2 linked regions of the Anolis sagrei genome follow. The protein of the gene in region 2 purifies or fractionates together with the protein of the main gene of each other region. This does not show direct contact. Links are inferred from orthologs where the notes say so. Each region holds a gene or a part of one and is shown on either strand. Other genes may lie near its edges.

Region 1 (6,980 bases), on a different chromosome or scaffold from region 2:
TGGGCTCTCTATGTATGTGTACATGTTCGTATATGTGTGTGTGTGTGTGATATATATATATATATATATATATAAGCACATTAGCTCATCAATGTATATTGTGAGCACATGCATACTTCAGGCTCATTGAATCAGTGCTAAACTAATTCATCTCCTACATTTCTTACCTTCCAAGAGAGGATTTATGATCTTGCTGTGTTGACCAGACCTCCATTCTCATTACCTCACCCATGCCCAGAAAAACAGCTCATTAAATTCTTTGCGGGGTCAAACTTGGAGGCTGTTAGAGCCAGATAAAACTAACTTTCAGGGCGAGGCACAGCAGCAATCAATACCAATTTGTGTTAGAAATTACAACCTTCTTCAAGCCTCTTCTAGTATTTTTTAAAATCTATAATCCTGTTGCTTACTTATTGTATGTATGTTTTGGTATGAAGCTTTCTTTCCTTGTTCTGTTTTTGTGAGAAGTTGTGGGAGGGGCTGCACACCACATGATCTGCTCTGGAACGAGCAGAGCACGGACTTCTTTAGACTTTGGGACTGCTCAGATCGCAGAATTGCAAACACTTGCCTTGCTGTTTATTCTAAGAGAGATACTCTGATCGGATGGCACAGATAAGTTTTGTATTGATTAGTTCACTGTTGTTATTATTTTGTATTATGTCATATTACTTTGATGTATTTGCACATGTTTGGGCATTGAATGTTTTCCTCTTTTGTGTGCAAACTGCCCTGAGTCCCTTTGGGGAGAGACTGGAATATAAAACTTGCTGGAAGGCAGCAAGTTTTATATTGTTGTTGTTATTATTATGACCTTGAACACATTAAGGTTGTGAGTAAACCAAATATGTTATTTTTTTACCAAATTCTACTCTTGAATGCATATTATAAAACATGCTGTTTTATGGGAGAGTAGATATATTTTTGGGCACTGAAAAACACTTCTGAAGAACTGCTATTTATGCAATGGCCTATTCTCTGTTTCCTAACAGATCAGAGATAACAGGTTGCTTCAGCCTAACAACTGAAGTCAATTGCCTTGAATGATTACATTTGGATGTATACCGCTTGAGAAGATTCTATTCAAACAGGTTTTTGACTCTTCTATAAAATGTTATAAATATTATTTTCTAAGAGGTTATGATCCCTTAAAGGTCATGCTTTTTAAAAAAATTGTTAGGCAATTAGCAATACACACAGTGTTGTTTGGCAAATCAAGAAGTGGTTAATACATATGCAATTGCTGAATTAAATACACATACATTTGTTAAGTAATTAAGTAGTTATTAGCAAGTGTGTTGAATATTTGTCAAGCAAAAACAAATAGCACTGATTTTAACTATTCCAACCTATGTCTCTTCACTTTCACAAAAATATGGGGAAAGATTTATTAAGCTGCACAAACTTTGTTTTTACGGCCTGCAGCCATGGTTCAAAACGGCATAGGAAAAGTTCAAAATGGCAGCCACCAAAACGAAGTGTCTGGAATACAACAACAACTTTCAAATTAAGGACTGCAACATGAAACAAAAGTTTCAAATCAGGAACAGGATTTCCCCCCTCTAATTTTGTTACACACTGTAATAATACCGATCTGGCAACTTTTAAAGAACAATGGGGCCAAAGACGCACAGCGCTGTTGTTTTGGGGTTTTTTTTGGCGCAGTGGGTTAAACCGCTGAGCTGCTGAACTTGCTGACCAACATTTTTGTGTCCAATTCTGGGCACCACAACTGAAGAGATATATTGACAGGTTGGAATGTGTCCTGAGGAGGCTGACTAAAATGATCAAGGGTCTGGAGAACAAGCCCTATGAGGAGTGGCTTAAAGAGCTGGGCATGTTTAGCCTGAAGAAGAGAAGGCTGAGAGAAGACATGATGAGGGCCATGTATAAGTATGTGAGAGAAAGTGATAGGGAGGAGGGAGCAAGCTTGTTTTCTGCTGCCCTGGAGACTAGGATGTGGACAAATGGCTTCAAACTACAAGAAAGGAGGTTCCATTTGAACATTAGGAAAAACTTCCTGAGTGTGAGAGCTGTTCAGCAGTGGAACTCTCTGTCCTGGAGTGTGGTAGAGGCTTCTTCTTTGGAGGCTTTTAAACAGACGCTGGATGGCCATCTGTTGGAGGTGCTTTGAATGCAAATGATTTGGAGGCACACTACAGCAATGCAGTTTTTTATAAACTAGTCCGAGCTTCACAATCAAAGGGAAATTTGGATATTTTTCCACTCTAGTTCAATAGGGCAACCTAAATGATGAAGGGTCTGGAGAACAAGCCCCATGAGGAGCGGCTTAGAGAGCTGGGCATGTTTAGCCTGCAGAAGGGAAGGCTGAGAGGAGACATGATAGCCATGTATAAATATGTGAGGGGAAGTCACAGGGAGGAGGGAGCAAGCTTGTTTTCTGCTGCCCTAGAGACTAGGATGTGGACAAATGGCTTCAAACTACAAGAAAGGAGATTCCATCTGAACATTGGGAAGAACTTCCTGACTGCGAGAGCTGTTCAGCAGTGGAACTCTCTGCCCCGGAGTGTGCTAGAGGCTCCTTTTTTTGGAAGCTTTTAAACAGAGGCTGGACGGCCATCTGTTGGGGGTGCTTTGAATGCAATATTCCTGCTTCTTTGCAGGGGGCTGGACTGGGTGGCCCATGAGGTCTCTTCCAACTCTATAATTTTATGAATCTGGGAAGTGGCGTGACCTCCCGCTGTCAGCCGCAATTCCTGCCAACCTAGCAGTTCTAACACATGCAAATGTGAGATCAATAGGTACCGCTCCGGGAAGGTAACGGCGCGATATGCAGTCATGCCGGCCACATGACCTTGGAGGTGTCTACGGGCAACGCCGGCTCTTCGGCTTAGAAATGGAGATGAGCACCAACCCCCCAGAGTTGGACGCGACAAGACTTAATATCAGGGGAACACCTTTACCTTTTTACCAAAATACATTCCAAACCCCGACTGAGCTAAACTTTGCAGAGAGACTGAGCTCCACTCACCACCTTTTGCTTGCTTGCTTGCGCCCTTTGGCTCGCGCTGCTCACCACGCCGTCGCTCTGAAGGGAGAAGGACACCGGATGTGACGAAACCCCCTTCGGGTAGCACGCGCCTCGGAAGTTCTCGCCTCTGCCCTGTACTTCCGGTTCCTGATTAAATTCCTTCAGAATAAACGAGTGAAAGGAGTCAGCTGAGCACGGGAAGGATGTTGAGCGGAAGTGGGAGGTCAAAGACCGGAAGTTGAGGCAGCCGGGCAACCAGCGAGCGTGCCGAAGATGGCGGAGGACTCATCGAGGAAGCGCCTGAGTGGAGACAGGAATGCGGGGCCGGATCCGCAGCGCGCGGGGAGGAGGCGGCTCCTGGTCATCCTGGAAGGGGCCTCCCTGGAGACAGTGAAGGTCTGGAAGGCAGCAGAAGGGATCAACATTTCAGGGACTGTGGTTTGGGCTCAGTCTTTGGGGAAGTGCGCCTACAGGCAAGGGGAAACTTAGGCCCTCCAGGCAAGGGGAAACTTAGGCCCTGTTTTGGGCTAGCCTGGGTCCTGCAGGTGTTTTGGACTTCAACTCCCACCATTCCTAACAGCCTCAGGCCCCTTCCTTTTCCCCCTCAGCCGCGGCTGAGGGGGAAAAGGAAGGGGCCTGAGGCTGTTAGGAATGGTGGGAGTTGAAGTCCAAAACACCTGCAGGGCCCAAGCTAGCCCACGCCTGATCTACGCTGCATTTATTGTAATCTCTGTGAAGAAAAAGTAGAATTTTCAAATAATTTGAAAATACACTTCCAGGTTGGGAAAACGTATGAGCTGTTGAACTGCGACAAGCATAAATCATTGCTCCTGCGAAGCGGCCGGGACCCTGGAGTGGTTCGACCGGACATCACACACCAGGTAATTCCTTGTAAAGCATAGTTTGCTATATGCTGTTCGCTCTTATTTGGAATATTGGTTGTCCTTTTGTGAAAATGCCATTCAAATGGTGTTGTCAGTTCTGTTTCAAACAAATTGTCATCAACATTTTATTTTTTTGTTATGTATTTATTGTGTCAGAAGCAAATTGAGGGACACTCTGAGTCCCTTCGGGGAGATAGAGCAGAATATAAATAAAGTTTTAGTATTATTGTTACCGTTATAATGTATTTTAGAAAACATGACGTTAAAAACTTGGCATCACGAGGGTTGAATGAAAAATGTCTCCACCTTCGTAACTCCTCAACAGTACTGGTATGCAGCAGGTACTGGCTTGTTCAGTAGACTCCTCTGCAGTTCCATTTTGGCGGGAAGCCTTAGCAATGAACAGTTGTGAAAGTGCAAAGTATGGAACTCTGCGCACACTGTCGATCAATGTTACTTAAGCAACGTGCAGTCATTGAGTTCTTGACAGCAGAAGGGGTCACCCCAAACGAGATTAATCTGAGAATGCAAGCTGTTTATGGTGATTGTGTTGATGTTAGTACTGTGTGTCATTGGCCAAGTAAGTTTAAAGATGTTGAGGTGGGAAATCTGACTTGCGTGACAAACAAAGAGTTGGACGTCTTGTTACAGCAATCACCAAGTTTCATAAGCAAAAGGTTGACAGATTGATTCAGGACAATCCTCATATCACTCAGAGATAAATTTCAAGCACAATTGGCATTTCACAAGAACATGTGGGTCACATTATTTCTTTGCTTGGCTATCGGAAGTTCTGTGCACAATGGGTAACCAGGATGCTGATGCCTGAAATGAAAGTGCACAGACTTGAAACTTCAGAGACTGGATCTCACCATCATACGACATCCTCCATACAGTCCAGATTTAGCACCGTCTGACTTCCATCTGTTTCCGATAATAAAAGAAGATCTGTGGGGACATCATTATGCTTCTGATGGAAACATTGAGAGAACTGTGAGATGCTGGTTGCAGAAACAGAGTGTCAACTTCTTCCGTGACGTCTTCAGAAAGTGAATAGTGGTAGTTAAAGAGCACATTCTAAGGATTATTTCTGCGTTTGATTTATTAAAACATTTCCATCCAAGCCCAAGAAACAAAGCTGGAGGCATTACTTTTCCTTCAACCCTTGTATATTAAACGTTCTTTGACCAATAGCTGGCCACTTGGAGTGCCTCTGGTGTCCCTGGGAGAAGACACTCCATTGTGCATGTGGCAGGGTTTAGACTGCAATGTTGTAAGTGGTTTGTGGTTTGCTCTTTTTCACACTCACATGTTGTGGACTCCACTTTGAGGCCCCATTTCTTAAGATTGGCCCTGCATCTGATGGTCCCAGAGCACAGTCTCTTCTGTGCCTTCCAAGTCTTCTGTGTGCCCAGTGGGAAGTTTCTAGTCCAACCCCATTCTGCCATGCAGGAAAAGCACAAAGTACCCCCAACAGATAGCCATCCAGACTCTGTTTAAAAGCCTCCATGGAAGGACCCTCCACTGTACTCCGAGGCAAAGAGTTCTGCTGATAAACAGCTTTTACAGTCGGGAAGTTCTTTCTAATGTTCAAGTGGGATCTCCTTTTCTGTAATTTGAACCCATTGCTCTGAATCCTAGTTTTCAAGGCAGCAGAAAACAAGCCTGATTCTTCTTATGACATCCTTTGCCTTTCCCACTTCCCCTCAGAGCCTCCTGATGCTCATGGATAGTCCTTTGAACCGAGCTGGTCTTCTCCAGGTTTATATCCACACAGAAAAGAATGTTCTGATTGAAGTTAACCCACAGACAAGAATCCCTCGCACGTTTGATCGCTTCTGTGGCCTGATGGGTAAGAGAATGCAATCTATAATTTCTCCTCTAATCAAATGCTCTGAATGAGAAGGGCCTCAGGTTTAAATATTCCAGGTTTGCGGGCCTTTTTTTCTTGTAGCTGCATATCACTTTTCACTGCTACTGGATCTGTAGTAACCTCGAAGTGGTAGTTGAATTTCTTGAGAGGGCACTGGAAAGTACAGAGTGTTTCAAATTGATGGATCCAGTTTCAAAGCCGTGTAATTCATGATAGCAACATATTACAATTACGCAAAAATTTACAAACAGTTTAGTGCGTTATCAAGTTTTACTAAGCATTTTGAGCCAGAATCAAATTTAAAAGATAACTCCGCAAATGAAGAATATCTCATTAAGCCTTATGTTGTAGGGGTTGCCTTCTTGCAAATGACTTAAGGCTCTTGGTGTATTAGGAGAGGCGGCATCTAGCAATAATAATTGGAAACTCTGCCTCACCCTTTCAAAGAGTAAGAGTTTGTTTTTTTTATTCATGAGCAGTTTGTGATTGCAGAGATATAGCCATTTCAGTTCAGGTCCATCTTTTTGAATCATCCTGTACTTCATACAGGGTGAAGCAGCATAGCTTCCTTTTTTAAAAACTTAATAAAACCCATTGTATGAATCAGAAATTTTTAGGTTTTTTTTATAATGTAAGCGCATACCTAAAGTTTTGAAGATTAAATTAGGTAGGTGACGTCCTCCATTCTCCATACACCGAGTAAACTGATTTCTGGCGTTTGTCATGGCTTGCCAGCATAGCAGGCATTATGTTGGCAATTTCTTCCTGGATTGTAGGGTCCTTGGACGGTTCACATAAACACGGGATTTCAAAAAACCCATAGAAAAAAATCACAAGGGGTCAAATCTGGAGAGTGGGCCGGCCACTCCAAATCCGATGGAAAAGTAGGCCTCAATGGCAAAAGCACGCTCCTCACTGTTCCAACGCATGATGGCGACTGAACTGTGTCAGGACAAAACTTTATATTCCCGCCTCTTGAATGAGACCACTAGCGCTGCGCTATGTCTTCAACCGACTGAATAGCGCGCATTTTAAAAAAAGAAGTTATGCTGCCTCACCCTGTACATTATGATAATGTCACAGTGAAGGTTCATTCTGGAGAGAAAAGTTATTTCTTGCAGTACACTTGACAAAAGGATCACCTTCAATGAGAAATAAACTCAATTTGGTTAGAAAGGATTATGCAGCTCCTAAGACTAGAAACTAAGATAAGATTAATGGGAAGAAATTA
Region 2 (7,480 bases):
ATGCAGTTTGGAACAGTATAGTTCAGCTGAGGGCAAACTTGGGCCTTCCAGGTGTTTTGGACTTCAACTCCCACCATTCCTAACAGCCTCAGGCCCCTTCCTTTTGGTTAGGAAAAGAAGGTACATCTCATACAACTGGGGGGAGAGAAAATCTGAACGGCTGGAAAATGCTGTGTGGATGCACAATCCTGATCACTCTGCATATTTATAGAACTATAAGTAGTAAAAATAAAGGTTTCTCCTTGACATTAAGTTTAGTTGTGGTGGTGCTCATCTCCATTTCTAAGCCAAAGAGGCGGTATTGTTCACAGACACCTCCAAGGTCCTGTGGCTGCCTTGACTGCATGGAACGCCGTTACTTTCCTGCCAGAGTAGTACCTATTGATCTATTCAAATTTGCATGTTTTCGAACTGCTAGGCTGGCAGAAGCTGGGCCTACAAGCAAGAGCTCAGCCCACTCCCTGGATTCTAACCACCGACCTTTTGGTCAGCAAGTTCAGCAGCTCAGCAGTTTAACCAACTGCACCACCGTGGGCTCCCTTTATAGAACCATATTCCTTACTTACTTACTTAGGTGATTCCTCATTGCCAAAGGATGATGGTCCTCCAAGTGTAGGGTCCTAGTAGTGGGTCCGTAGATGACTGTGGAACCCTATTCTTGATCTGCAAGTTCTCCCACAGTGAGGACATCGGTTTCCAGGTGGAAGGTGGTCCCGGTCAGGGTTGGCTTGATGTGCCTTCCTCATAGCATGTTTCTCCCTTTTGCCCTCCATTAGTGCCTCTTCAAATTTTGCAGCACTGCTGGTCACAGCTGACCTCCAGTTAGAGCACTCAAGGGGCAAGGCTTCTCAATTCTCGGCATTTATGCCACAGTTTTTAAGCCCATCTTTAAATCTCTTTTGCAAATGTGAGTTTTCTATTCTTGAGTTGGGAGTATAGGAACTGCTTTGGGAGACAGGGATCGAGCATTCGGACAATGTGGCTGGTCCAGCGGAATTGATGAGGTAGGAGCATTGCTTCAATGCTGGTGGTCTTTGCTTCTTCCAGCATGCTGATATTTGTCCGCCTGTCTTCCCAAGAGATTTGCAGGATTTTACAAAGGCAACGTTGCTGGAATCATTCCAGGACGTCTGTAGACAGTCCACATTTCGCATGCGTATAGCAGGGTTGGGAGGACAATGGCTTTATAAACAAGCACCTTGGTCTCCCTACGCATGTCCCTGTCCTCAAACAATGGAAGAACTATATTCCACCCTAACTGCAATGCTGAGGAATATTGTCATTTTCAGTTTAGGGAAGACATTTCAAATTATTAGCTAAGGCATTCTTGGATGTCACAGAATGACAAGCCCTGGAATACCACGGGATGTTGCCATGGTAGTTAAAGTGGGATATAGTTGCCTCTAGTTTAGACTAGTTGCGTCTAGTTTGGACTACTGCAATGCACTCTACGTGGGGCTTCCCTTGAAGATGGCCCGGAAACTCCAATTGGTCCAACATTCGGCAGCCAGATTAATAACTGGGGCGAATTACAGGGAGCAGTCAATCCCCCTGTTTAAGGAGCTCCATTGGCTGCCGTTCATCTTCTGGTCCCAATTCAAGGTGCAGGTTATCATCTATAAAGCCCTAAACGGTTTGGGACCTGCCTACCTTTGTGACCGCATCTCCCCCCACCAACCTCTTCTGATGTGCCTTTGGAGAGTGACCATTCACCCCATTTCTGTTTGTTCCACCTACAGTGTTTCCCCTAAGATGCACTTTCCCCTGTCCTAAACTGAAAGCCTAACTCCACTGTTCATCCCTTTGGGCTTCTCTCAAATGCACTTTTCCTACTACTACCTCATCCAGGGTTTTATCATTTTACCTTGTCCATTGTGTTCAATTTTATATTATCTTATTTTGCTTTGTTTACTCTATTCTGCTACTGTATTGTGATGTAATATTTGTTGCTTTTTGTTGTTTGCATTTTGTATTTTATTTTGCTGTATTGTATCTTTGGGCTCGGCCTCATGTTAGCCGCCCCAAGTCCCCCTCGGGGAGATGGTGGCGGGGTATGAATAAAGTTTATTATTATTATTATTTATATAGGTATCAATATAATGGTGTAGTGGGAGAAGTGCAAAGTACAGTAAAGCTGGGTCTACAGGGAGTATAATGCAATTTGGAGCAGTCTAGTCCAGCTGTGGGCAAACTTGGGCCCTCCAAGTGTTTTGGACTTCAACTCCCACCATTCCTAACAGCCTCAGGCCCTTTCCTTTTCCCTTTTCGCTTAAGCGGCTGAGGGGGAAAAGAAAGGGTCCTGAGGCTGTTAGGAATGGTGGGAGTTGAAGTCCAAAACACTTGGAGGGCCCAAGTTTGCCCATGCCTAGTCTATGTAGATCCACATAATGCAGATCATGTCAATGAAGTGTAGATCCAGCCTCAGAAGGAAAGGGAAGAACTGGTGTTGGATCTGGGCTCCGGTCTCCTGCGTGGGGAAGAAGAAGAAGGAGCTTTCCAGGAACCAGCCACCCTGGAAGCAGCAGCCAGGCGAGAAAAACAAAAAGCGGGCTTGCTGCTCCGTTGGTTTGTGGGCAGTCCGGGCGGAAGGCCAAGAGGCAGAGGGCCAGGCAAGGAGGACGCCTGACAGCTCCCTCATCCGCGGAAGGCAAACCAGACCAAACATCAACACAGCGAGACAACAGGGCGCGCGTCCCTCCAAGGATGCGCCTTTCCACGGGGGAAAAGGAAGGCGACACCGCGGGAAAAGGACCCCGCAAAGCCCCCCACGGCCCCGGGGCACCTCTCTCGGAGGTCTAGCCTTTCTCCACGGGGGGAGCATGCCCGCCCGCCCCTTATTGCCCTCCCCCAAAGCCCCCCCCCCCGCCATCCTCACCGGTGGCCCAGGCGCAGCTCTCCTTGATGGCCTTGTGCTTGTTCCCCGAGGCTTCCTTCTGCAGCTTCTTCAGGGTGCCTTCCATCTTGCCTACCTGCCTTGCCCTATCCCTCCTCCTCCTCCTCCTCCTCCTCCTTCGTGGAGCCCCGCTTCAAGCGCGCGGCATCGGCGGCGTTGATGAATCACGCGGAGCGGCCCACGACCCGGGAGACGTCACGCGCGGCAATCCCCCCCTCTCTCTCTTAATCCCCGCCTCCTCCGCGCAGACGTCCACGCCGGGTCTTGGAGAGCCTGCCTTTGGGCCAATCGCTCCTCCTCTCGCCGCCTCGGCTGCACCTGCCGCTCCCTCCAACCCTCGGGCGACAGGGAAGGGGAGCCACGCGTGGAGCCGCCGGGAGGCGCTTTGGAGGCGGCACAGCGCCCGGCCTGGCTTTTGCTGGGAGCCCCAGATAGAGCAGACCCCTTGGATCAATAGGGTTTACTCATCAAGGGGAGGGAAGGAGCCTCCGGTGGCTGGGAGCCCCAGATAGTGGGCTAAACCCTTGTGCCGGCAGGACTGAAGACCGACAGGTCGGAGGTTCAAATCCGGGGAGAACGCGGGTGAGCTCCCTCTGGCAGCTTCTACTATCCAATCTAAACTGGGGGAAAATTAAAAACCCTGTAACAGCTGGCTAGAGATTCGGACACCATGAGTCCATGGCTGGCATTTATAAGCCCTGCAAGCTAGAGAACAAGGGTGTACCTACACTGCACAATTATAACATTTTGATCCCAATTTCATCTTAAGAACAGACAAGCATCTCAAGCTCCGAGGATTACCTGGGAAAGAATCCCACTGGAGCATTGCAGGACACCCAAATACCTGGGAGTTACCCTGGACCGTGCTGTGACCTACAAGAAGCACTGCCTGAACATCAAGCAAAAAGTGGGCGCTAGAAACAATATCATACAAAAGCTGACTGGTACAACCTGGGGATCACAACCAGATACAGTGAAGACATCTGCTCTTGCGCTATGCTACTCTGCTGCTGAGTATGCATGCCCAGTGTGGAACACATCTATCTCACCACACTAAAACAGTGATGTGGCTCTTAATGAGACATGCCCCATTATCACAGGGTGTCTGCGCCCTACAGCACTGGAGAAATTACACTGTCTAGCCAGTATTGCACCACCTGACATCCACCGGGGAGTAGCAGCCAATAGTGAAAGGACCAAGGCAGTGACATCTCTGGCTCATCCCCTGTTTGGGTATCAGCCAGCACGGTAGCGACTTAAATCAAGAAATAGTTTTCTAAGATCTACAGAGACACTCGCTGGAACACCTCAGCAAGCGAGAGTCCAAAAGTGGCAGGCTCAAACCCAGAACCTCAATCAATGGGTGATACCAAATGAGAGATTTCCTTCTGGGCACACAGAAAACTGGGCAACTTGGAAGTGCTGAACAGACTGCACTCTTGACACCATAAGATGCAGAGCCAACCTTAAGAAATGGGGCTACAAAGTGGAGTCCAGGACTTTGTAGTGTGGAGAAGAGCAAACCACAAACAACCTATTACAATGCAGCCTGAGCCCTGCCACATGCACAATGGAGGACCTTCTTATAACAAACCAGAGGCACTCCAAGTGGCCAGCTACTGGTCAAAGGACATTTAATAGAATGCCAAGTTTGCAAACTTTGTGGGTTTTTTGTTTTTGTTTTTAAATACAATACAACTGTTTGGTTTGCTCCTGATACGATAAATAAAATCCCAATTTAGCTGGCGTGGCTCCATCCTGTAGATGAAGGAAAGTACTATTCTGCAATATATGGTGTTATATAGAAACGTCAAAGCATTTCTAATAATAGAGAAAAATACTGTTTTATGAACATGTAGTATATTGATAGCACCTGGCTAATGACTGTGAGTGTTATGATGCAATACCTAAGGGGTGTGGTAATGGCCGAGTCATAACTATGTGAGGGTTTCTGCAAAGGGATTGCATCAGCCAGTGTCCCTTGCTGATGACCTATCAGCAGGTGGCTATATAACAGTGGTTCCCAACCTTTTTTTGATCAGGGACCACTAGGACCAGAGGCAACTCTCCAACATTAGCACCAAAAGGGTTACAAATTGGATTTTGGTCAACTTTAGATTTGATTTGGTTATTGATCATCCCTGCCATAGGATGTCATAATGGCTATATACAAAACAGCAACTCAAACGGCATCCTGCTTCTCACCAAATGTGCGGAACACAACCTTGTCATCACCAACACGCTCTTCCGCCAGAAAAACAAGTTCAAGACATCATGGAAGCACCCCCGGTCAAAGCATTGGCACCTCTTAGACTATGTAATCACACGTGCCAGAGACCGCCGTGAGGTGCTCCTCACAAGAGCCATGACAGGTGCTGACGACTGCTGGACTGACCACAGGCTAATCCGATCAACGATGGCTCTCAAGATTGCCCCCAAGCGCAGGCTCCAAGGAAGAAAGACAAGGCGCAAAATGAACACCCAAGCCCTTCAGGAGCCCTCCAGACGAGCCCATCTCCAAACAGCACTCAAGAACCATCTACCCACAGAACACCCCGAAAATGTTGAGGAACACTGGAACAAACTGAAGACCTCCATCATCACAGCCTGCGAAGAAACTATTGGATATCAAACCAAGAAACATCAAGATTGGTTTGACGAAAATGACATCGAGATCCAACAGCTAATTGACAAGAAAAGGAAAGCCTTCCAAACATGGCAGAGAGACTGTGCTGCTAAGAAAAAGATCTACGCCAGTGCAAAAGCTGAAGTCCAAAGAAGGACAAGAGAACTCAAGAACATCTGGTGGACAAAGAAGGCTGAAGAAATCCAACACCTGGCAGATACCCATGATGCTCAGGGATTCTTCAAAGCCACAAAGGTCATCTATGGACCAAGAAACCATGGCATACAGCCTCTACGCTCATCAGATGGAACCAAACTCTTGAAAGACCAAAACTCAATTGCACTATGTTGGAAAGTACACTACCAAAGCCTCCTGAACCGCGGCTCCGATGTGGCCGAAGAGGTCCTCTCACAAATCCCGCAACAACAAACTAGGGATGAGCTTGCAGCACTGCCTAGTCTGGAAGAAGTCAGCAATGCCATCAGCCAACAAAAGAATAACAAAGCCAGTGGACTGGATGGGATCCCTGCTGAAATCTTTAAAGAGGGAGGACCTGAGCTGACACACCAACTCCACCAGCTCATAGAAAAAGTGTGGGTGACCGAGAAAATCCCAGCAGATTTCAAGGATGCCACCATCATCACCCTCTTCAAAAAAAGGGAAAGAACAGACTGCGGAAACTATCGAGGTATCTCCCTTCTAACCTCCGCTGGGAAAATCCTTGCAAGAATCCTTGCAAACTGCCTTCTGCCCCTCTCAGAAGACACCCTCCCAGAATCCCAGAACGGCTTCCGCCCCTCCAGAGGAACCGTGGACATGATCTTCACTGCACGACAGCTCCAAGAAAAATGCAGAGAACAAAATCAACCTCTGTACATGGCATTCATCGACCTTGCAAAGGCATTCGACACAGTGAATCGCAGCGCTCTCTGGACCATCCTCCAAAAAATCGGGTGCCCAAACAAATTTGTGAACATCCTGCGGCTCCTCCATGATGACATGATGGCAACAGTTTTGAACAGCAATGGCTCCCAAAGTGACCCATTTAAGGTGGAATCGGGTGTCAAACAGGGATGTGTTATTGCCCCAACTCTATTCTCCATCTTCATCACTATGATACTTCACCTTGTTGATGAGAAACTTCCCACCGGAGTGGAAATCATCTATCGGACAGATGGCAAGCTATTCAACCTCAGCAGACTGAAAGCCAAAACCAAGGTTACAACAACATCTGTTATAGAACTCCAGTATGCTGATGACAACGTCGTCTGTGTGCATTCAGAAGAAGATCTACAAGCCACTCTAAACACCTTTGCAGAAGCATATGAGAAGCTAGGCTTGTCATTGAACATTGAAAAAACCAAGGTGCTTTTCCAGCAGGCACCAGCCAACCCCTCACCAATGCCAGTGATACAGCTTAATGGTGTAACATTAGAAAATGTTGATCATTTCCACTACCTTGGCAGCCACCTCTCCACCAAAGTCAACATCGACACCGAAATACAACACCGCCTGAGCTCTGCAAGCGCAGCATTTTTCCGAATGAAGCAGAGAGTGTTTGAGGACTGGGACATCTGTAGGGATACCAAGGTGCTTGTTTATAAAGCTATTGTCCTCCCAACCCTGCTCTATACCTGTGAGACGTGGGCTGTCTACAGACGTCACATGCAACTCCTGGAATGATTCCATCAGCGCTGCCTCCGGAAAATCCTGCAAATCTCTTGGGAAGACAAGCGGACAAACGTCAGCGTGCTGGAACAAGCAAAGACCACCAGCATTGAAGCGATGGTCCTCCGCCACCAACTCCGCTGGACCGGCCATGTTGTCCGGATGCCCGACCACCGTCTCCCAAAGCAGTTGCTCTACTCCGAACTTAAGAACGGAAAACGGAATGTTGGAGGACAGGAAAAAAGATTTAAAGATGGGCTCAAAGCCAACCTTAAAAACTCTGGCATAGACTG

The links. Proteins that work in one complex are often made in the same cells at the same time.
Region 1: the proteins of ARFGEF3 (region 2) and PHB2 purify together in Homo sapiens (affinity purification with western blotting; 4 studies listed by BioGRID). This does not show direct contact. The link is inferred for Anolis sagrei from reciprocal best matches to the Homo sapiens genes ARFGEF3 and PHB2.

What each region holds. Positions count from the first base shown.
Region 1 is NC_090022.1:198,282,380-198,289,359, forward strand, and holds the start of PHB2 (prohibitin-2), read right to left. Parts: upstream 3,083-6,980; 5' UTR 2,993-3,082; intron 1-2,992. Other genes in the region: EMG1 (ribosomal RNA small subunit methyltransferase NEP1), read left to right, coding at 3,266-3,388, 3,772-3,873, 5,587-5,728.
Region 2 is NC_090021.1:79,095,914-79,103,393, forward strand, and holds the start of ARFGEF3 (brefeldin A-inhibited guanine nucleotide-exchange protein 3), read right to left. Parts: upstream 3,099-7,480; 5' UTR 2,961-3,098; coding exon 2,876-2,960; intron 1-2,875. UniProt on the Homo sapiens protein: Participates in the regulation of systemic glucose homeostasis, where it negatively regulates insulin granule biogenesis in pancreatic islet beta cells. Also regulates glucagon granule production in pancreatic alpha cells.